2 linked regions of the Yarrowia lipolytica genome follow. The protein of the gene in region 1 interacts with the protein of each later gene in a pairwise test. Links are inferred from orthologs where the notes say so. Each region holds a gene or a part of one and is shown in the gene's direction. Other genes may lie near its edges.

Evidence for each region.
Region 2: the proteins of YALI1_F23446g (region 1) and YALI1_C23989g interact in binary tests that used the Saccharomyces cerevisiae proteins (3 or more experiments, as listed by UniProt). The link is inferred for Yarrowia lipolytica from reciprocal best matches to the Saccharomyces cerevisiae genes COG3 and SED5.

What each region holds. Positions count from the first base shown.
Region 1 is NC_090775.1:2,336,874-2,348,365, forward strand, and holds YALI1_F23446g (uncharacterized protein), read left to right. Parts: upstream 1-7,762; coding exon 7,763-10,114; downstream 10,115-11,492. Other genes in the region: YALI1_F23368g (mitochondrial 54S ribosomal protein bL12m), read left to right, coding at 1-46, 199-625; YALI1_F23391g (uncharacterized protein), read right to left, coding at 1,145-2,284; YALI1_F23399g (mitochondrial 54S ribosomal protein mL61), read left to right, coding at 3,119-3,880; YALI1_F23414g (uncharacterized protein), read left to right, coding at 4,532-5,788; YALI1_F23441g (uncharacterized protein), read right to left, coding at 5,998-7,299; YALI1_F23474g (uncharacterized protein), read right to left, coding at 10,407-10,615, 10,675-10,693. UniProt on the Saccharomyces cerevisiae protein: Acts as a component of the peripheral membrane COG complex that is involved in intra-Golgi protein trafficking.
Region 2 is NC_090772.1:2,393,636-2,403,801, forward strand, and holds YALI1_C23989g (uncharacterized protein), read left to right. Parts: upstream 1-5,264; coding exon 5,265-6,185; downstream 6,186-10,166. Other genes in the region: YALI1_C23948g (uncharacterized protein), read right to left, coding at 1-1,207; YALI1_C23950g (uncharacterized protein), read left to right, coding at 1,405-1,857; YALI1_C24016g (uncharacterized protein), read left to right, coding at 8,005-10,166. UniProt on the Saccharomyces cerevisiae protein: Required for vesicular transport between the endoplasmic reticulum and the Golgi complex. Acts as a target organelle soluble NSF attachment protein receptor (t-SNARE).

The sequences.
Region 1 (11,492 bases):
CTCTTCGAGTTGCTCGAGTCGCCCGTGTGGCTCGAGTTGGTGTTCGGTGAGTATTAATTGCGAGATTCACTCCTTGATTGTTTTTCTCGACATTGAAATCAAGCCAGATCACCAGCCAGATCATGTCATCAACTCACAAAAGCACTGATCTGAAGACGAAACGCTTCAAAAAAACCCACCCAGCTCCAACTAACACAGATTCAACTCCACCGCCGCCCCCGTGGACCCCAAGATCACCGCTATTGTCGACCAGATTGCCCAGCTCAACCTGCTGGAAACCTCGTCTCTGGTGACCGAGCTCAAGAGCCGACTCAACATTCCCGATATCTCTTTCCCCGCCGCCGGAGCCGCCCCCGCCGCTGCACCTGCCGCTGCTGCCGAGGAGGCCGCCCCCGAGCCCGTCGAGGAGAAGACCATCTTCAACATCAAGCTGGAGTCATACGATGCCAAGGCCAAGCCTAAGGTGATCAAGGAGATCAAGACCCTGCTCGGTCTGTCTCTGGTCGACGCCAAGAAGATTGTTGACGCCGCCCCCAAGATGGTCAAGGAGTCCGTCCCCAAGGAGGATGCCGACAAGATCAAAAAGGTGCTTGAGGATCTCGGCGCCAAGATTACTCTTGAGTAAGTGTATATAGTAACTCATTTTGAACCAGACAAAATACGAGTGCGAACCACGAGTATTGGATGCTCTTCTGGCTGGAGAACTGGAACGTAGTTGGAGTAGTAGTCGTTGTTGCCCTTATGGTACGGCTGTGATACGACAGAGTACTTTCAAGATGTAAAGCATGAAATACGACGAAGGAAATGTTTGCTTGACTGTTTAGATATGTTGACAATATCAATAGCCTTTCGGATAGTCAGATATCGGTACTGAAGCAGTGTGATTTCCTTGACCTAATCACTTACTCATATGTTACGTTGATGACATGATCTGAATGCCAATGGGCAACAGTTTCATATCTTCCAGCTGAAACATCTCAATTGCATCTACAACCGTCTATAATCACCAGGTGGTTGTACATTACTAATAAATTATTCTACATGTTGGTATGAACGCCGTCATTGGATAGCTACGGCTAGGCATACCAGAATCCCGTTTTTTTATCACCTCTTGATCTCGTTTTAAGCACCCACTACTCCTTCGTTAAAAGTCTGGGCTCATGCTCATGCTCTTCTGCCGTCTATTGTGGGCAGCAAGGCGTCTAGCGTAGCTAGGAGTTCCGAGTTCTGAGGGCGTGGCTGGAGTAACAGATCTCAACGACGACGACCGGGGCATCCGGGGAGTGGTCGGATGTTGTGGGGGGGGCTGCACGAATTGAGGAGCATACTGCTGTTGTTGAGACGGCGGTATCTGTTGTTGGGTGTAGGGACTCTGGTAGGGGCTGCTAGAGCTGTATCCCTGAGGACTAACAACACCAATGACACTTCTTCGGTTGGTTCTCTTGATGGCATGGATCTCTAGTTTCTTCTCGAGGATCTTGACGAAGGAGGAAAGAGCCACTAAATTGTTTGAGATGCCTTCTGAGAGGCCAGATTGGCCTGGTAAGTGGCACAGGGCAGTCATCTCCTCGTACATGGTATACAAGGACTCGTAGAGATCTGCATCCAAATTCTTCAATCGGTTCAGCGACATTTCAATGTCAATCATGTCCTCCGAGTGATCAAAGTTGGACATAGTGGACTGCCCAGTGTGTTGAGTTTGCAGAGGTTGTTGTATATGGGCTCTCTGATGCTCCATTTCCGACTCTATGGACTCGCACGATTCGCTGGACTCGTTTGATGCAAACGACGTGTCTCCATCTGCTCTGGAGACTCCCTCCTGTTCCGTTTCGGTGCCTGCCGAGTCTTCGGAGTTCTCATCATCTCCCTCCATCTCAGACTCCATGTTGAGACGTCTGATACGTTCTCTGAGAGCTCCTAACGCCGACCACGCCGAAGAGGGAGGCTCAATAGTCTCGGGCTCCAAATCACGCACGTCCCGCAACGTGGACGAGCGATGATGGCTCTTGTACGCTGGCTTACCACCTGCAGGGGACCCCGATCCAAGACCGCCCATGTATCCGTTGTTGAAGGCTGGAAATGAGTTGACGCTGGTCGAGTGGGTATGCGACGTGTGTGGACGACCTGCTGTCTGTGGTCTGTGCCCGTGAGATGTGTTTGGACGTGGTGCTCCTCCACCATACAGAGATGAGCTTCTGGACCGCGACATTTGGGTGTTTGCGAACGGGTTTTCTTCGCGGTCACCTGAACGGCTGCCGCGTCGGTTGGTTTTGTAGGGGAACATGTCAGGCCTAGTCGAGAGTTATGTCTGTGGCTGGGTATCGGTGTCTGTCTCTTAATGGCTTACCGTGGTGGAACGTTGAGTCAGAGTTGGTGTATGCAATGTATATCGTTGAGTTGTTAGTCGTTGAGTAGTTTGTTTCTCACGGACTGTCTGTGTCGTATCTCCTCTCAATTGGCAAATCCACTTCTGTTAGACTGGTGACCGTCTAGATCAAACCTGGCCATCAACGCGTCTTTCCTGTAATCGTGTGTGTTAAAGTTGATGTTGGCACCTGCAGGCTGTTTCACAGCATGTAGTCAGGGTCTATTCAACTGTCCAAATATCGACTTTCTCAGAAAATATTTGCATCCCAGGTATCTGGACGCGGTGTGTTGTTGAATACATCTTGTTCAAACGCCATTAAGTGCACAGAGACACCAAATACGGGTCGCCTAATGACGCCCATAACCTCCTGGACTCACCCTTACAACTTAAAAACACTTGTGAAGGAGGAGTGTTCTAATTTGGGTTAAGTAAACGTTATAACAGAATACTTGAGAAGTACTTGAACTTATTGCTACGTAAACGATCCTTAAAACTGCTCCAAAAATCAAAGAAAAAGCATGTGGAAAAAAAAAAACATAGATATTTTGGTCCACTTTCAACATTTCCAAGTATATTCTTACCCTTCACTTCGTTCCTACATCCACCTTAAAGCCCCCTCAATATCACCACCACTTCCTATATGTAACCTTAAATCTCTTACCCTACCTGTTTTCATCACCAAATTTCCTAGCCAAAATACTGCTTGAAACCGCACCTGATCTGACATATTCAGACCACACAACTAGCAAAATGTCGTCCAAACAGTTGGCAAAAAACCTCCGTCAGACCTACCAGAACATGACTGGAGTCGACAAGCAGATTTTCCAGCTCAACAAGGTCGTCACCGCTCCTGGAGCATACAAGCTGCCCGACAATGTCTCGGCTCTGAAGCTCCGTTTCAAGGACTCTGGTAACCGGTCTCAGACCAAGCTGTTCTGGACCCATTCGCTGCCCACTCTGCAGTTCTGGAACCCCTCCGTCGCCATGAGTGTGTCTCGAGTCCAGGCTCCTAAGGAGAAGTCCGTTGGACCTACCGTGACCATCACTCGAACTGATGGCTCCGAGGAAACCATTTCTATCGCCTCCATGTTCTGGGAGAAGATGGCCGAGACCATTGCTGAGGCTGCCGGAGCAACCCCTGTCTCCGCCGGCGAGCTCAAGAAGTACTCCATCCCCTTTGTCACCGACTACGACAAGAAGATGGAGCTGGCCAAGAAGACCCATCTGCGAGATGTGGCCTTTGCACAGAAGGTGGAGCTGCACAAGCAGCAGGAGGCAGACCGAGAGGCCCTGGAGCTGGCGGCCAAGGAAGAGGCCAAGGCCGCTGCCCAGAAGAAGAAGGACGCCATGATCAAGGCCCGAAAGGAGGGACGAGTTTACATTGAGGGAGAGGAGAACGAAGTTAAGGAGGCTGCTGTCGAGGTTGAGCAGAAGGTGACCGAGGAGGTGGCCGAGGATGGAGCCAAGATCGAGATCAAGGAGACCGAGGTCAAGATCGAGACCAAGAACTAGAAAGAGTAAATATGTGGATCTCTCGTGAACAGTAATGGCACGTGAGACGGTATATAGTTCCATTACATGATTTATTATGACACACCCATAGGTGTGAGCGTCGCGAGTGATTGTACACATACGGGTACTACTTGTAGCTACAAGTACAGCTGTTGGCACTTGTACATACTACACTATTGTCAGCCTAACATAATGCCAAAGGGGGGGGGGGGGGGGGGGGGGGGTCGCTAATGCCAATAGTACAGCATTTTGGAGTTCGTGGGTAATTAGAGGTGCTGGGGATTCCGAGTGGTTTATGTATCGTTACGATATGTTCTTTATTGCTGTTTGAAGGGGGAACAGTTCAGGTTCTTGAAGGGGGTACAAGCAAGTACATCATCATACTTGAGCGGTAAATTTGGGCCTCGGTATGTAGTAATTAGGGCATTGGAAAGATCCTGTTAACTCGGGTTTACATTGCCAATGTGCACAAATCCTTTGCATTTTCCAACAAGTAATTTATATGAAAATGTCTCCATTATTTCCGTCACTCTTTCAACCACTTTCAGCTCTGCAGAAATGATGCAGCTTAATCTGGGTTCGAAAAATTATTTTGGATTAATTATTTCAAACTGATTTCACACCCCAGTTACCGACTTAAACACACACACAATGTCGTTCATGTTCCAGGTTGACGGATGGAATCTGTCCAACGATGTCAAGGCTGATAAGTTGACCAAGCGTCAGAAGGAAAAACGAGACCAGCAGGCCGAGCGAGGCGTCATGATGCGGGAGAAGCGAGAGCAGCGAGAGAAGGAGCGAGCGGATGACGAGAAGGCCGCCGAGGCTGATGCCAAGGCCAAGGCTGAGGCCGCTAAAGCTGCTGAGAAGGCTTCTGCTGCTGAGGATGCTGCTGATTCTGGCAAGAACAAAAAGAGCAAGAAGGACAAGAAGAAGGATAAGAAGGATAAGAAGGCCAAGGCTTCTGAGACTGAAGAGGCTTCCAAGCCAGCTGCTCCTCCTGCTGAAGCGTTCACACAGGCTCCTGCCGCCAAGCTGACACCTCTTCAGCTCAAGATGAAAGAGAAGCTGGCCGGATCGCGGTTCCGATGGATCAACGAGCAGCTGTATACTGTTCCCTCCGAAGAGGCTCTCAAAATGATTACCGACAACCCCGAGATTTTTGACGAGTATCATGCTGGATTCCGAAACCAGGTGCAGGGTTGGCCCGAGAACCCCGTGGACACCTTTGTCAAGCGGTTTACCGAGAGGCTCAACAAGCCTGTGTGTTCTCCTGGAGGGCTGCCTGCTCACAAGCGCGAGAACAAGATTGTGGTGGCCGATATGGGCTGTGGAGAGGCGCAGCTGGCGCTGGATCTGAGCAAGATCAACTTCAAGAAGAAGGGCGTCAACCCCCAGAACAAGAACCTGGTGGTCGAGACCCAGTCGTTTGATCTGAAGAAGGCCAACGAGCGAGTGACAGTGGCAGATGTGAAGAATGTGCCCATGGAAGACAACTCCGCTGACATTGTCGTCTTCTGTCTGGCTCTTATGGGAACCAACTTCCTGGACTTCATCAAGGAGGCCATGCGAATTCTGCGGCCCAATGGAGAGCTGTGGATCGCCGAGATTAAGTCTCGATTCACCGACGGCCAGACCGACGAGTTCATCAAGGTGCTCAAGAGCCTCAGCTTCTTCCACAAGCTCACAGACGACGAAAACACGCACTTTGTGCGGTTCGAGTTCTTCAAACCCACCCAAGAGATTCTCGCCCAACGAAAGAAGAAGGTGCCAAAGCGAAAGTTCATTGACTATGGAGATGAGGAGGAAAAGAAGGGACCCGAGGACGGCGAGCAGCTCGAGAAGAGACGAAAGAAGCAGGCTGAGGGCGAGTGGTTGCTCAAGCCTTGCATTTACAAGCGACGATAGAGAGACAGTACAAGTACCGGTAGCTTGATGGCTGTCAGTTAACTATATATAACAAAAACCAGAACAGTGGTAAACTACTATAATAGATTTGTATAAGTAATACTTTTTGTATCATCATCATCCTCCTCATCCTCATAATAATCATCATCATAGTCACTCTATTATTGAAACTATTGTTTTCTAGGAACTTTTAGACCTGCAAGTGTGTCTTAAGTGGTTGACAGAATGGTGTTGATCATCTCGTTGCCAATTCGAGTGGCTTCAGGGAACATGTGAGCAAAGTATTTTTGGGTGTCGTTGAACTCCTGCTCGTACAGTTTGTAGGAGCCGTAAGAAACGACCTTAGACCACGTTCGAGCAGCCACCACAAACTCCAGATCGTCGGGTCGGAAGTCCTGGTTAGTAATGGAGTGTTTGATGCACTGTTCGAGCAGTCCTGGAGTGCAAAAGACGTATTCAGTGACACCCAGCCAGATTCGGAACAGAGGTGTCGAGCAGATGACGTGGTCGTAGGGGTTGATCTTGAGTTTGTGCCACGAGTCGACAATGGACAGCAGTGACAGATGCGAGTTCGGCTTTTGTGTTTCTCCCAGGGGTTTGGTTCCGAGCGAAAACTTTTCGAGAATCTCATCGGACAGCAGCAGCGAGTGTTCCTTCTTGAGGCCTCCAAACACAAAGTCTCGGGCAGCCGTAAGGCGGTCAAGCAACTCCTGCTCCTTGCCTGTGATCATGAGTTTGTACAGATCGCCGGCACTGGATGCGTACTGCTGGATCTGAACCTTGGCAGCGGGGTTTGAGATGGCCAGACCGGCATAGACGTGCCATTTATTGGAGTAGATTCGCAGCGAGATGTTCATCTTTGCGTTTTCCAGACCTCCGATCCAACGGCTTATCTGCCAGGGGTACTGTCCGTTCGCCTGCCAGGCCTTGCCCATGGTCAGAAATGCGGCGTGAGTCACAGCCTGTGTGTCGGCAGTGATTTTGTCGTGTTGCTCTGCCGACAGGTAGACAATCTTGGACTTGAGTGACTCCAGCAGTGACTGCACAAACTCGAACTTCCACTCCTCGGTGTTTCTGTGTCGGATAATCACCAGAGGCATGCCCTCGGGGTTGACTTTGGGGCCGTGTAGTGAGTGGCACGAGATGATATCCACGTCAGAGGGCAGATGTGCCTCGAACGCAGCCATCTCGGGAGCCTTACAGGACGTTTGACCACCTACAATGGAACCGACCTTTGTAGAGGGACCGTAGATGCTGACAATCTTGCCGATATTCTCGGCCTCGACGCAGTAGAGAATGTAATCGCACTTTCGAGACACATAGTGGCCATTCTGGACGATTTCAATCTCCGAATCGGCAAATTCCTCCTTGAGCTTCTCATAGTGGGATTCCTGATCACAGGCCAGCACTTTCCAGCCCTGAGAGTTCCAGTGGTTAGCAAACAGACGGCCCATGTCGCCCATGCCAATCACACCCACTAGCTTGGTTTTCTTCCATTCCTCAATAGACATGTTGTAGAGCGTGGCGAAAGTACAATGTATCGTGTCGTAGAAATGGTGTTTCCGGATCTCCATATTGAGACTAAAACCTTATGCGGATAGTGAAACTCCGAGGTGGAATGGAGGTGAAGGTATAGGGGGCTTAAAACGTGGTATTTTAGAACTGAATTTTTAATTTCTGGATCTTGAATTGGTTGTGATTGAAATTTGACATTTCTATTTCTCATAACATATCTTTTACCCCTGTCATTGTCGAGTTTCTACTTTCCTAAAATCATTAACAAACTTTTAGCTTATGCTGAAGTATATTCAACTAAACGGATCACCTTGAACTTCCATCTACCACGGTGATCTGATTCGGAAGAAACTGAAACATAAGCCGAGGGGTTGACTGGTCTTTTTTTGTATGTAAATTACCTGTTGTTATTCAAACTCCTTTACCCAGTTACCCACTACATTTGTTCTCCTACTTCTCATGTCACTCCAAACACACGCGCAACTCTATTTGCACATCCGACATACGTGGTACAGCTCTCCATACCCACACCCGGAGGATAGACGTGGTTACACAGCAAGAGAGATGTACGACGAATGGGCATACATGGACGCGGCGAAGCCGGCTCCAAAGCCGGTAAGCCCGAAGAGATCACGTGCCAAAAGCATCATTCAGTCCGTGGCCGTGGAGAAGGTGGTCCAAGTGACCCAGACAGATGTGCTGGAGGTGCCTCCTTTGCGTCGACGGACACAGAGCGTCAATGTGGGCTCGCTGGAGAGACCCGAGGTTGAGAAACTGCGCACAGAATGGCCATTCTCGAGGAGAGAAGTGGAAGAGCTCTTTTCTCCTTCCGGAAACAGCTCCCTACAACAATCAGCATCGTCATCACAAGAAACAAACACGCCACAGCTCCAAAGGGCCACCACCATGTACATGCAGGCCACGTCGTACTCGCTGACGTGCTCCAAGCTGCTGGACCAGACTAACGACATCATTGGCTTGTTGGACACTCTGTCCGTTTCATTCCTCAAGGTGGAAAACGACACGGAGAAGTTCCAACGCGAATGCAATGCGCTCATGGACGAACAGACACATTTGGAAACTCTCATCGGTAATCTGCAACAGAATCTCGACATGTTCACCCGCATTGAATCTGTCCAGAGACAGGTGACAGGAGGCAGTCACAACTTCATCAAGACGCCAGCGTTTAGATCCATTCTGCAGCAGATTGACGAGTCGCTTGTCTATATCCCCGAGCACAACAACTTCAAGGGTGCTGAGGATTATGAGCAGCGCTTCATGGCACTTTTAGTGCGATGTTTACGTCTGGTGGTGGTGTATTTCGGCAACAAGGTGACGGATATTGGCGCAGAGGCACAGGAAAAGATGGCTACCGTTTCTTCGTCGGCAGCCAGTCATGCTCTCATGTACAGCAAGTTTGAGCAGGCCACTAACCTGGGAGAAATGGTGTCTGAGGTGTCAAAGCGAGCTCAGTATCCACAGATTGAGCCCATGATGCAGGAGCTATACCAAAAGTATTTTGCAGCCCGTCAACCAATCCTGCGACCTCACATTGATAAATCTGTGTTTGACATTAACTCCTCCAGTGGCACAGACAGCGTCAAATTCTGTCGGAAGGCGCTGTCGTTGTACAAGCAGATTTTCAGCGACGAGAAGCGGCTCTTTGACCATTTCTTCCCCGACGAGGGCCATGGTCGACTTGCTGAATGGATGGATGGACTGTTTGAGGGTCTGTATGACCAGCTTCGAACTCGAATACTTCGAGATCGGTCTGTTTCTGTCTTGTGTGAGATTGCCGTCATCCTGCAGGACGATGAGAGTATGGATGACGATGGCTTTGGCAACCTGGTTTTCAACGCACTACAAGACGTCCAGTCACGGTTGGTGTTCAGGGCCCAAAATATCATTGATCATGAGATTGTTAACTACGTTCCTGGAGACGGAGACTTCTTGATTGGTAGCAGAAGGACCAATGAAAAAGAAGATGATAAGACAGCTTCTTCTTCTGTTGGCGACGAATCTAACGCCGATATCTCCAATGATCTCCTTCAGGGCTGGTACCCTCCTCTACGACGAACTGTGATTTTACTGTCGCAAATATACCAGTTGGTCAACTCGCATGTTTTTGATACCATGGCTCACAATGTGTTGCACGACTGTATCACTTCGTTGAATGTTGCACGTGTGGTGGCTCAGAAGCGCCTGGGTCCGTCTGACGCCGAGCTCTGGTTTATCAAGAACCTGTTGATGCTCAACTCACAGGTGGCTGAGTTTGACATTCAGTTTGTGCCTGAGGAGAAGCAGCTTGACTTCTCGGGAGCTCTGGGCATTCTGGGCCAGATTGCGCGTGAGCGACGTGTGACCACCGACAAGGATGGCATTGCTGGTCTTGCACGAGCCTCTCTGCCTCGAGTCATTAACTCCATGATGGACGCTCGTGTGGAACTTTCTGCCAACCTGCGTAACGCCATCTCCACCATGACCGAGTCTGAGGTGCGCCACATTGCCAAGAGCATCATGACGGACCCCAAACCGGAGAACATTGTGACTGACACGCGGCAACTGCGAGAAGACACGGCCTCGGAGATTCCGCGGTCGTACACGAAGATTAAGTCGTATGTGGACGATGCCCAGGCTGCGGATGTGCTGATTGAGGCCATCCAGGACTTGTTGGTGCGCAACTACGACGAGTATCATCGTAAGATGGTCACTCGGGGCAAGCCTGAGCAGCTGGAGGCTCTTATGGAGGTGGATGGATTCGTCAGTTGGGTTGGAGACGTTATTCAAAAGTTGTATATTAGTGAGCAATAAGTTAGAGGGTGGACATGTAAATACGACTGAACGCATGATGAAGGAATTACATGGAGAGTGGGGGAGACTTGTAGAGAGTCGGTAGAAAAAAGACCACATAAAATAGACCACCAGTTACTACGGGTGTGTATTCGTTGTAAACTACAGTAGACAGCTGCAATACACAGTATCATTGTCGCGTATTGTACAACAGGCCACATTTATGACAGTATTACTGCAAGGCAGTGTGTAGAGTAGGAACGGTCCATCCACTTTGTCTGCAATTTTATTGAATAAATAATCCGTCGACTGTCTACTTTCCAGTCGCTTTGGCAGCCTCCTCGTTGGGGTTGTATGTGTTTTCGGCCAGCATCTTGTTGAGCTTCTGTTTGACCACCTCGACCATGGAGGGGTGGATCATGAGATGGGTGTCATCCAGCTCGTCCAAAATGATGTTGTGTTGCGACGAGTCAATGTTGACGATGAGCGCCTTGATGGAGGGATCGCATTCAATCAGAACGCCTGCGTTAGTTGTCTGCTCACCGGCTGGTTTTTTCCGCTGTCGAATTCTCCCTACTCACCTCTGGTGGCCTTTGGCATGTTGATGAAGCGAACTTTGATTGGGATCAGAGTTGTGATGAAAATAGGTGTAATGATCAGTTAGAGGTTCTGATAGAAATCGATGTGATATATATAAAACCCTTTTAAACCACTAAAATCAAAAGAGATGGTAATTTGATAACTTCCCCTTTAGTGGGAAGTTGCCCCACTTTTTCAATTTCACCTACCGTGGCGTGTATTTTCGTACACTTGGTACTCGTTCTTAGAAACAACTTTCAGACTCAGAAAAAGAACTGTTCCGGGTTTACATGCACCTATAAATATGACATGAGACAGCAGGGGTGTTGTCGTTATACAGTGTTACGGCAGTGCTCATCTGTGATTGTGATTGTCGTCGCATTCTACAAGTAGTCACATGAGTACGTACAATACACGGTCTTTTTGGTATTGCTGTAGCTTCTACTACTACACCTTGCCGTAGTTTAACCGTCCCAACTAAAACACACTCGGTAGTTAAACAATACATACGCTACAGAGATACAATAGAATCCCCGCTGTACAAGTACTATACGGAACTGGTGCGCGTTCAACGTCCAAAAAAGTAATTCTTGACACAAGCACGTCGCTGCCAAGTGTCGGCTGGTTCCAAACGTACAAATATACACCTGTATGTACGAAGACGTCATAGCTCTGGACGAGGAAGGGGTAACAGCGAATGTCTTTAAATCAGCAGGTAGAAGTTCTAACAGAATAATAACTATACCATTCGATTTGTCTCGTCTCGGTGGTCATTATACACTTTTCAGATCTTGAACTGTTCCATTTTTACCACTTTCAC
Region 2 (10,166 bases), on another chromosome or scaffold:
GCTCGAGGGTCTGGGTGGCCTGGGCCTTGCAACCAGCAATGGCACCACCAAGTCGAAGCATGGCCTCCTCCTCGGGGAACATCTGGCACTGGAAGACCAGGTTCTCGAGCCAGGCGTGGGTGGACTCGATTCGAATGGCCATGTTGGCGAGCTTGGCTCGGATGACGGGGTGCTCAATCAGAGGCTTGCCGAAAGTCTTTCGCTTGTGGGCGTACTTGCAGGCCTCCTCGTAGCAAACTCGAGAAGCTCGGTTTGCCTGGATGATGATACCAACTCGCTCGTGGTTGAAGTTGGTCATGATGACCTTGAAACCCTTGTTCTCCTTGCCGAGCAGGTTCTCCACGGGGACCTTGACATCCTCCATGGTGACCCAGGTAGAGCCGGAAGACAGCATACCCTGAGTGTTCATTCGTCGGGTCTCAAGACCCTCCATGCCTCGCTCGAGCAGCAGAACAGAGATACCGTTCATGCCAGAGCCGGGGCCACCGGTTCGGACGGCAACAGTGAAGTAGTCAGCCCAGATACCGTTGGTGATCCACTTCTTGATACCGTTGACAATGTAGAACTTTCCGTCGGGGGTCTTCTCGGCGGTAGTGGTGATGTTGGCAACATCGGAGCCAGCGTCGGGCTCAGTGATACACAGACAGATTCGCTTGGAACCGTCGAGCAGGCCGGGGAGGATTCGCTCCTTAAGGGGCTCCTTGGCGAACTTGATCACGGGAGGCAGACCAATACAGTAGCCACCAAGCAGGTTCCAGGTGAGACCTCCGGAGCCAGCTCGCATGATCTCGTCGGTGATGATGAGCTCGTGGAACATGTCGTACTCCTCAATGGGCACAGAGGCGGGCTTGACGTTGGTGTACTTGGCCAGCTCCTTGTAGGGGGTGCCGAGAGAGCCGGCAAGGTAACCTCGCTTGCCCATCTCCTGGAAGATCTCCTTGGGAACCTCCTTCTCCTCATCCCATTCCTCAACGAAGGGCTCAATCTTCTCCTCAACCCACTGTCGGACCTCGTCACGCAGCTTGGCGTGGGACTCCTTGTAGTAGGGGTTGTGGTAGCCGTGGTACCAGTTGGGGTCGGCGTAGGGGACAAGGTCTCCGTAGGGCTCGAGGGCGGTGGTCTTGTTAGGGGCAATCATGGCTCGAGTGGGGTTTGCTTCAGCGTCTTTAAGGGTTCCGATCTTGAACTTGTGTCCAACCTTTCGCATAATCTTGGGGGCGTCGTGGTATTTGTGGAAAAACTTGGTAGCGTCTTTTCCTGCGACTCGTTTGAGAATCTTTTTTCCGCCGGGGTGTTCTTTCTGGAATTCAGTGAGGTCGAAAACGTTACCGTCAATGATGATCCACAGAGATTCGGGAGAGTTGTGCTCCGCAACTTGCTGTCGTTAGCGCTGTATATATACACATGAGTGGTGCAATAGGCTTTAGGCACATTAATGCACATGTACCGAGGGAAGGTTGGAAGGTTGGTTTGTGTGGGGAGGTTATGCAACGTGGCGGCGGTGGTGGCGGTGGCAACACCAAGCGGCGGTGGGTGGGTCAATCGATCGATTGGGTGATTCGTTCGATTGATTGCCGCAGTCCCGGTCCATGTTCACTATCTACCTCAATTCCTATCACACTACCGCAGTGGCTAGTGTGTACCCCAGATGTCACACCACCTAAGGGGCCGAATAGAGTTCATCGGCTTTGGGGGGTTAAGGTTGTTTCTGTGGGGAACGTGATTTTCAGAGCAGTCAGGGCAAGAGACGTTGGAGGCTACCAATTGCTGCAGAACCATTGGTGGTGGGTTCGGCTCAGTTTCCGGAGCTCCGAAAGCGACTCTCCAAGTCTCCCACCTCCTGTTCACCTCACCTGACGTCACTAGCCCACATCCACCGCAATACCTCGGCACATGCAACCAAACCTAAAATTATCCCCAGCACATGTCACATTATGGAGGCAATCTGACCATTGCGGAAAGAAACGGAGCAAGTGGCAGTGGTCGCTGATCGCCGGGAAAGGCCCAGCCTGAGAAAGACAGAGGAAGAGACAAACACAAACACAGACACAAACACAAAGCCTGACTCAGCAAGTGAAAGGGAGAGGGCGATCTAGACCGTCCAATCCGACTGGGAAGAGATGGACGGTCCAGATAGACAGAGCGTCTAGAGAGAGCCGTCTAAGCAATGTGTCTAGGGGCTGTGTCCAAACAATCTGTCTAAACGATCTGTGTAAAACAACCCGTCTAGATGGCATTTTCCCTGGCGGCGGCGCGTGACCAAGTTGCTCTAGAAGCCCTGTCCCAGTTACAAAGCCCGACTCTGAGATCCAGAATCTCTCCTGGCCATCTGTGTCGCCCAACCAATTCCGTTTGTCACCGCTGTCACCACCGTTTGTGTCTGTGTCGATACTGCCATCCCGCTACAACATGTCCCGTCTTCAGACTTGTGTCTGCTGTCGTGACCTGACCTGACCCGACCCCGTTGCACCATCTGCACTCTCACCGCCTCTGGCGCCTCTCTTTACCTCTGCCACGTTCGCCAAAACGTCCGCCAATCTCCCAGATCGCTCATACTCACTTCGGGGGTGTACTGCTCGCTCATGTTGTTGTGCTTCAGGTGTTATACCGTGTGAGTCTGGGGTTCTGGAGTCCGCGTGGGATTTATATCCAACCTAGGCCAAACTAGGTTTTCCCTTGTGTCAGCAAGTGGAGACCGGGCCAATCAGCGGCCAGCCAAAGTAAGATGGGGGCCGAATACTGCGTTTGAGACGCTTCTCCGGTCTACGATAAGGTCTGCCGAATCTGGTGGGGCGGTACGCATCCACATTTAGCCCAAATCTAGGTTCGTTTTGGACCTTTTTTGGTAACGTGATTGTGAGTATGTACGCAGTCTACATTGTAGCATTTGACATGTTGAACAAGTGCGAGTATGGTACATACAGAACTTGCAACTACCGAGTGCAACCACCAAGTACCGTACCGTACACCATCTCATATACATGTGTCTGAGGCTGTTGCAACGGTTCGCTCGATTCTCCATCCCGCCTCGAGCAGGACTAAAGAGCATACCAGGCAAGTCCGGTGTGAAGTAGCAACTTGACCTACTTATGACGGGGTTAGGGTTCCCGCAAGAGGGAGCTGGACGGTGGAGAGTGTGGGCAATTGGTGGAGGTGGCAAAGTCGGTTGGTGTGGGTGACTATGACTACGACGACGATTACGAGTATGAATTCGACTACGACTACAGTACTTGTGGTTATGTGTGTCCTGATCTGTTGGCTGTCGATGCACATACCACATTCATCTGGGGGACATGAACCTCGGCTGTACCTTACAGATGAGGTGCCGAGTGCTTAGTAAGCGGTAGGTGAACTTGTCGGAATGGCCAGAGAGAGGGATGTTGCATTGCAGAGACGGCATTTTATTCCTCAGAAGGTGTTTATTCCTTAGAAGGCGTTTATTCCTCAGAAGGCGTTTATTCCTCAGAAGGCGTTTATTCCTTTAATTCGGCCCTTTCTGTCAATACCGAATCGGACCCACACACTTCCAAAGTGGGGTTTAAACCAGATTTGATAATCGTCTGATCGGAAATCTGAAAAAAGCAAGCGATTCCCCTTGCCATTTTGCGTCGTTTCATCCCATTTCAAGTCCTCTCTGACCCAGATAGACCCGTCCAGCATGCACTCTATCGATGTCGATCTTTTTGCATACGGCTTCTGCATGCCCCGCCCCGCCCCACCAATGGCGAAGTTTTAACCTCACGAAAAACAAATTGCGGTCAATTTGCAGGTCCGAACACGCCACCTGTGGCTCAGTCGCCGCCGCTTGGACTCGTATTTTTGTGGCAGTGCAGAACAAAGTGGCCGAAAATTACACACAAGCCTGGAAGTGTATGGCATAACATTCGGAGGCGTGTTTGAGCGTTGTCGGGTTTGAGGTGTGATCGCATGGCATACTATACAGACACCACTATGCATTAGGAGGTACCCGTGTTGGAGTGTTCGAGGAATGTCAGGCTGTCAGTTTGCTCCATAGCAAAGCCTTCCAGAGTACTGTACTTGTACAGAACCCTTTCAGCCAGTCTGCAGGCGATCGACAACTTGGTGAACGTCTGTCGCGGTCCATTTCGCCAATTCTGACTAAGCCGGTAGTGTCCATGTCCATGATGAAAACGGTGGACAAGAGACATCCCCAAGAGGGTTGGCAGTAATAAATTGGACAATGGCCACGGCTACACGCTTCATATACGAAACGTCAACTAATATTCAACTAACCAACAGCTAATCAACAACTAACCAACAGCTAATCGACAACTAAACAACTATGTTAACTAATTCCCAACTAATCTCAGCTATGTTAACTAATTTTCAACTACAAGCAACTAACCACTTCACATTCAAACGAAAAGTGGATGACATGTGAGACTGTTTGTACACAAGATATGGATGATTGGTTCGGGATCGTTAAATCCAACGCACATCTTTCCTTGTCATTGAAAACCTGCTACTGCACATTGTTGTTCTCGGACTCCGTTCAACGGTCCGGCGATAGGAGCAGTTGTATCAAACGGAAATGTTGCGTTTTGCAACCAAGACGAAAAGTGGCAGATCAGAACGGTCTGGTTCACGTGAACCTTCGACTCCTTGTTTTTGGGCCTCTTGACTGACACAACGTGAATGGCTACTTGTTCTCGTAGTAGTGTATGTATGGTGGTGTACCTACCTATCTACAGCTGAGGACTCCCCAACCGTACATGCCTACATAGCAACGAATGCGCAACATGTCAGGTCACCCATATTCCTTGTTCATGGCTGTGCCTGTTCTGTAACAAAGACCTTTAGTGTCTACTATGGTGTGTTTCGGTTCACTAGTGGTACGTACTGGCACTATAAGTAGATCATGTCGGGTTATTTTTTTGGACTGGTTCTCCCATTTAGGAGAAGCACAGCCAACCCCCCTTTTGGCACTTTGCCGATTTTACCGCCGTTTTACAATTTTGGTAGTGGTTTGGGAACCACTCAGATCCTGTTAGAGAGGACATATTGAGACCAGAAAAGACGCAACGATGGAAACCCCGCGCAAATAAATCGATTTATCCACTCGGAAACCCGATTCCTCCGCTCCCCGCCGTTCCACCCATACATTTCCTGCCCCCCATCTCCTCCAATTAAGCTCACGTGCAACTTTACATGCATCCAAATATGAACACCTCACAGTTCCAACACGCCAGAGTGACACTGTCCGACTCAACCTCCCACAACAACAGCACAGTCCCCAGTTCGCGATGCTCTCTGTGCAGAACCGGACCCAGGAATTCAAAAGCGCGGTCGCGGCGCAGGCGCGGCTGCGGCAAAACGCCGTGCCGGCGCCACAAACCCGATCTGCAAAGTCGCAGTTTGCCCAGGACGCGTCGAAAATCGCCGCCGAAATCGCCGACACCACACAGATGCTGCAACGGCTAGCACAGCTGGCGCAGCGCAAGACGCTGTTCGACGACCGCCCCGTGGAGATCAACGAACTGACGCACGTGATCAAACAGAAGGTGTCGCGGGTTAACGAGCAGCTGACCCAGCTCCAGCAACGGGCCAAGCAGTCGACGGGCCAGAAGCAGACCATGGAGCACTCGAAAAACGTGGTGGTGTTGCTGCAAGAAAAGCTGTCGACAGTCACGGCAGGGTTTGCCGATGTTCTGGAGGAGAGAACTCGAAACATCCAGGCATCCAAATCTCGACATGAACAGTTCATTTCCGCCACGTCGGCTTCCACACAACAAGCGGCTTCCAGCCCGCTCTACGGCTCGGGAACAGCTTCGTCCAACCCTTACGATATGCAGATGCAACAGCAGGATCAACTGAGTGGAGCAGACCCAGAAACATCAGACCTGTTGACCCTCCCCCAGCAGGACACGTTACTGCTTGACCAACAAGACATGTACGTGCAGCAGCGGTCGACAGCCGTGGAGGCCATCGAAAGCACCATCCAAGAACTTGGAGGCATGTTTTCGCAATTGGCCACTATGGTGGCGGAACAGAGAGAAACTGTGGCCCGAATCGACCAGAACACCGATGATATCTCGTTGAACGTGAGTGGAGCGCAGAGAGAACTCATGAAGTACTACGCTCGAATCTCGTCGAATCGGTGGTTGATGGTCAAGGTGTTTGGTATTGTTATTGCGTTTTTCATGTTGTGGGTGTTGATTTCGTAAGGCGGCATGTGAACTAGAGAAGACGAATGGAGCAGGGTTTTTCTCGCCAACATTCCATCTTGGTTTGAGGACTAACAGTTGGTTGAAATGTGGTGAAATGGTGTTTTCTTGGTTGAGTGTTTCACTGAACTCCTCATCTCTCTATCCAGTCTTTTGAAAGAACTCTGTCATACCTCTGTCAACAACATGGACTCGGACGCACAGGTGTGGGTTTGCATATACAACCGGGGCACGGGAGAGGAAGGGCAGGCAGGATACATAGTGGAATAGATGGTGTTTGAATGTGCTGGATGTGTCTGGTATCTGGTTCTTGCAGCCACGCGTGGTGTTAGAAGATGGTCTTGTTGAGGACTGTTTGATAATGTGTCTTTTCAATGGACTTGGTTCGCACCGGGCAACCAACTGGATACTTACAACTCCAATCTTGGTGGTGTTTTGCATTGCAACTGTCAATAGCAATAGCTCATTTCTCTGTCAATGGTGCTGGGAAAGGGTGCTGGACCTCTTCTACACGCCCGTTGGATGGCTCGCTGAGGGTCGCAAAGTCCGTGCGAAATGACCTACTTAGAAAATACCTCCGTAAAGAAGACACCTCAGCTCCTCCGTGGCAACACAGACCTGTTGATCTAGAACAAGTCACCCCAGAGACCTCCCGGAGCCCTCCTGGTTCTGATTCTATGACCCTTCAATATTGTATTTCGGCCTACTTCATGGAGACTACCAGAGCGGGTAAAACAGCTCTCATGTTTAGGATGTTCAACATATAAAAATGTAGCTGCTGATCTCACCATTCTCATGGTACCATCAAAATCTCAGTATCTCATGTAAATATAGAAATACTGCGAAACTTGAAATTTGGACCCCCCCCAACCAGAACCCGATCACGTGACCGTAATACCCTGCCACAACCCTCTATGCGGCTTATTTCCCCATGTTTGGGAGCAGCCCATGCACACACACATATGCACACACATATGCAAGTTACGTTTAAAACCACAGGTGCAGCCTTGATGACTAAGCGCATAATACATTCCACTGTTTCATCTGTGTTTCACGGTCGTGCCGAGGGGAGAGTCCATTGGAGATCACGTGTCCAATACTGGGGCATGTGTGTTGGTCACGTGATCTACAATATTGTGAGATTGGTCGCTTTATTGGGTTTTTCCAGGTGTTTTCAGGTGTATTTTTAACATGTTCGTAGAATCAACCGGATTCTCATCTTTGAAAATTGGAGATTTATTGTGGATTTGTGGATTTTAGCATTTTAAAGGATATCATTGGATTTGTGGCAATGAGGACTATACAATGGTGCCATTTATATCTGTCTCTCATTACTCCTTCCTGTTGTGTTCTCTTTTTTTTATACGACCACCCCTATGATGAGCAGTATGTGAGACAACCATAACACTGTATTTTTTCAGGGGTTTCTGAAAAGCTGAAAAATGATCATTTCTGAATTACGGAATATCTATTCTGGTCAAAATTGTTCAAGGAGTTGTTTCCCGCAGTCAAAATCCTTCTATCTTCTCTCAATGATCCCCTATTATCGAATCGGTTATTTATAAAGTTCTTTTCTGCCGCAGCATTTAAGGTTGCTGGCATGCATGATGTTCAAATATAGGCAATCTTGGAGTATCATTTTATCCGACACTATTACAGCTTGAAAGTGAGTATGGCCCGTCTGCGGGGGTGTTTGCAAGTGTCTGGGGCACGTGTGTGGGTCATGTGATGTACACGTGTCGCGTTGCCGCGTGTTTTTGGCCCCACGCTACCACGACTACCCCTCCTCATCGTCCTTGCTACTAACACAGACGACCCCATGGGTCTGCTAGAAAAGACGCTATTTGCGGAAGGAGAGCCGTTTTCCTACGATGGCAACAACCGGGGCAAGCGCAAACTCCGGCCGATGGACGGGTCGAGTTTGCCGCTTGAAAACACTGACTTTTCGGCCGAAACCCTCGATCGACTAGTTGGAAGGAACGTGGTGTCTCCTGCTTCGGACTATTTCCATCTTGGAGAGAGTGGTGAGGTTTCAGAAGAGGTACGCGCAAGACGGGAGCTTCGGGACCGTAGGCTTGCTGCCGAAGAGGAACGTGAGAGGGGAGCGAGAGCCGCAAGAAAGAGAGCTGAAAAGGAAACCTGGAAGGAGATCGAGCAGAAGTACGGCGAGGGGAAGGAGCCTGTGGTTGGAGATTTGCGGCGGCATGTTTCGAAGGATGAAGACGGAAATGCAAAGGAATATGTCCCCTTTGATGAACCGTCGACTTCAATCATTCCTCCTGAAACCAGTCAGGATGGCAATAAGGATTGCAAGCCTCCGAAGGGGGCGTTTGAGAGAGAGACGCCGTCGTACAAGACTGCGTTGCCTATTGGTGAGTACTACCGAGGAAAAGTGGGACCGTTTGATCTATATGGGTACTGTACTGCATTACCCATACTTAACGGAAGACAGGGCTCAGGCCATGGGACCACTGATTGTAGTTGCCTAGTCACTAACACAGCATCATCATCTACCTCATCCAAATCCCGCACGTCCACGTCACCACCATCACCAACATCTTCTTCGTCATCCAACTCGGATACCAAAGAAACACACCATGGACACCAACACGACTACACATACCACGACACGACATCCAACGATTCGTTCAAGGACGCTCTTGAAGAGCTGGATGAACCCAGTGACGACGGAAGCTTCCAGGAGCCGTCGACAGCAAAAAGCACACACAATTTGCATTCCTGGAAAGATGGAGATACCGACACACTGAGAGGAGAGCATGCTGATATCGGCACAGCAGAAATCAGCACTTTGGGCAAGCCAAACCTTAGCATGGGCCACGTGATGGGCCGAACACACTCGCCGTCCATAGCGTCACGTGACTCATCTGCTTACGTGCAGGAGCCTATCTCTATTGTTGAAGATAGTGCGAGTATCGAGGAGGAAGAAAGTATTACAACCACCCGGTCACGTGTATCTTCCCACTCGCGTGACAAAACTGTGTCTCCCTCGCGCCCAGGGTCTCTATCACGTGTTGCATCACGTGACCGAACGGTTTCTCCAGGTGGATCACGCCCCTCGTCTCCTGTTCGATCAAAATCCCCTCCTCTGCCTGCATTTACATCAGCTCGTCACAAGTCGCCACAACGAGTTCCAACACTGGAGTTGCCCGAGGGCGATGGAGGCAATCAGGTGACTAGACATGAGGACGATGCTGTGATTATTGACGACTCAGAGTCCTCCGTCTCAGAATACGAGGTGGAAGCGGATCTTCCTACGATTGACGCAGCCATGGACTCGTCTGAGGAGCAGCTAGAGAACGACATTGATCATCTCGGGATTGGAGACTCGTCACGACTAGACTTGCCGATCCTGCACTCTCTAGAGTCCCATTTGCTGCCTCATATTGAGGGTCATCATCATCATCATCATCATGGCCATGTTCGCAAGAAGCTGATTCGACGACTGTCCAACAGCCGTAAATCGTCCGAGTCGTCCTTGTCGTCGATTGACTCACGTGACTTTTCCCGTCCCGTCCAGTTCTGCAATGAGGTTGGAGTGCCTGATCCCTCCTGGCAGTCCCACGACGTTTCCGATCCAGAGGAGATTTCAGCTCCCATTTTGCCCCGGTTCGAGAGTCTCAAGAAATCGACCAAGGGTAAGAAGATTGGAGGTGGAAGAAAGGGAAGGAGGAGAGCTGCCATTGAGGAGGAGGCCAACAATGGAGGAGAACGCAGTGAGAAGAGGAGTGTCCTTAGCAGCAGAAGGAACAAGGGTAAGGAGGTGGATGATGGATACGAGTCGACTGCGACAGGTAAGTCTAGAAGACCGTCTGTGGCTACTAATGCGACTCTGTCTCCTTCTTTTGGAGCAGTTTCTGATTTTTCGGATATGGACTCGGATGTTGAAGGTATTTGTGGTTTGGAGAGCGGAATGGCAAGCAGGAACAGATCGTCTGTTAGTGTCAACAGCAAACACGCTAG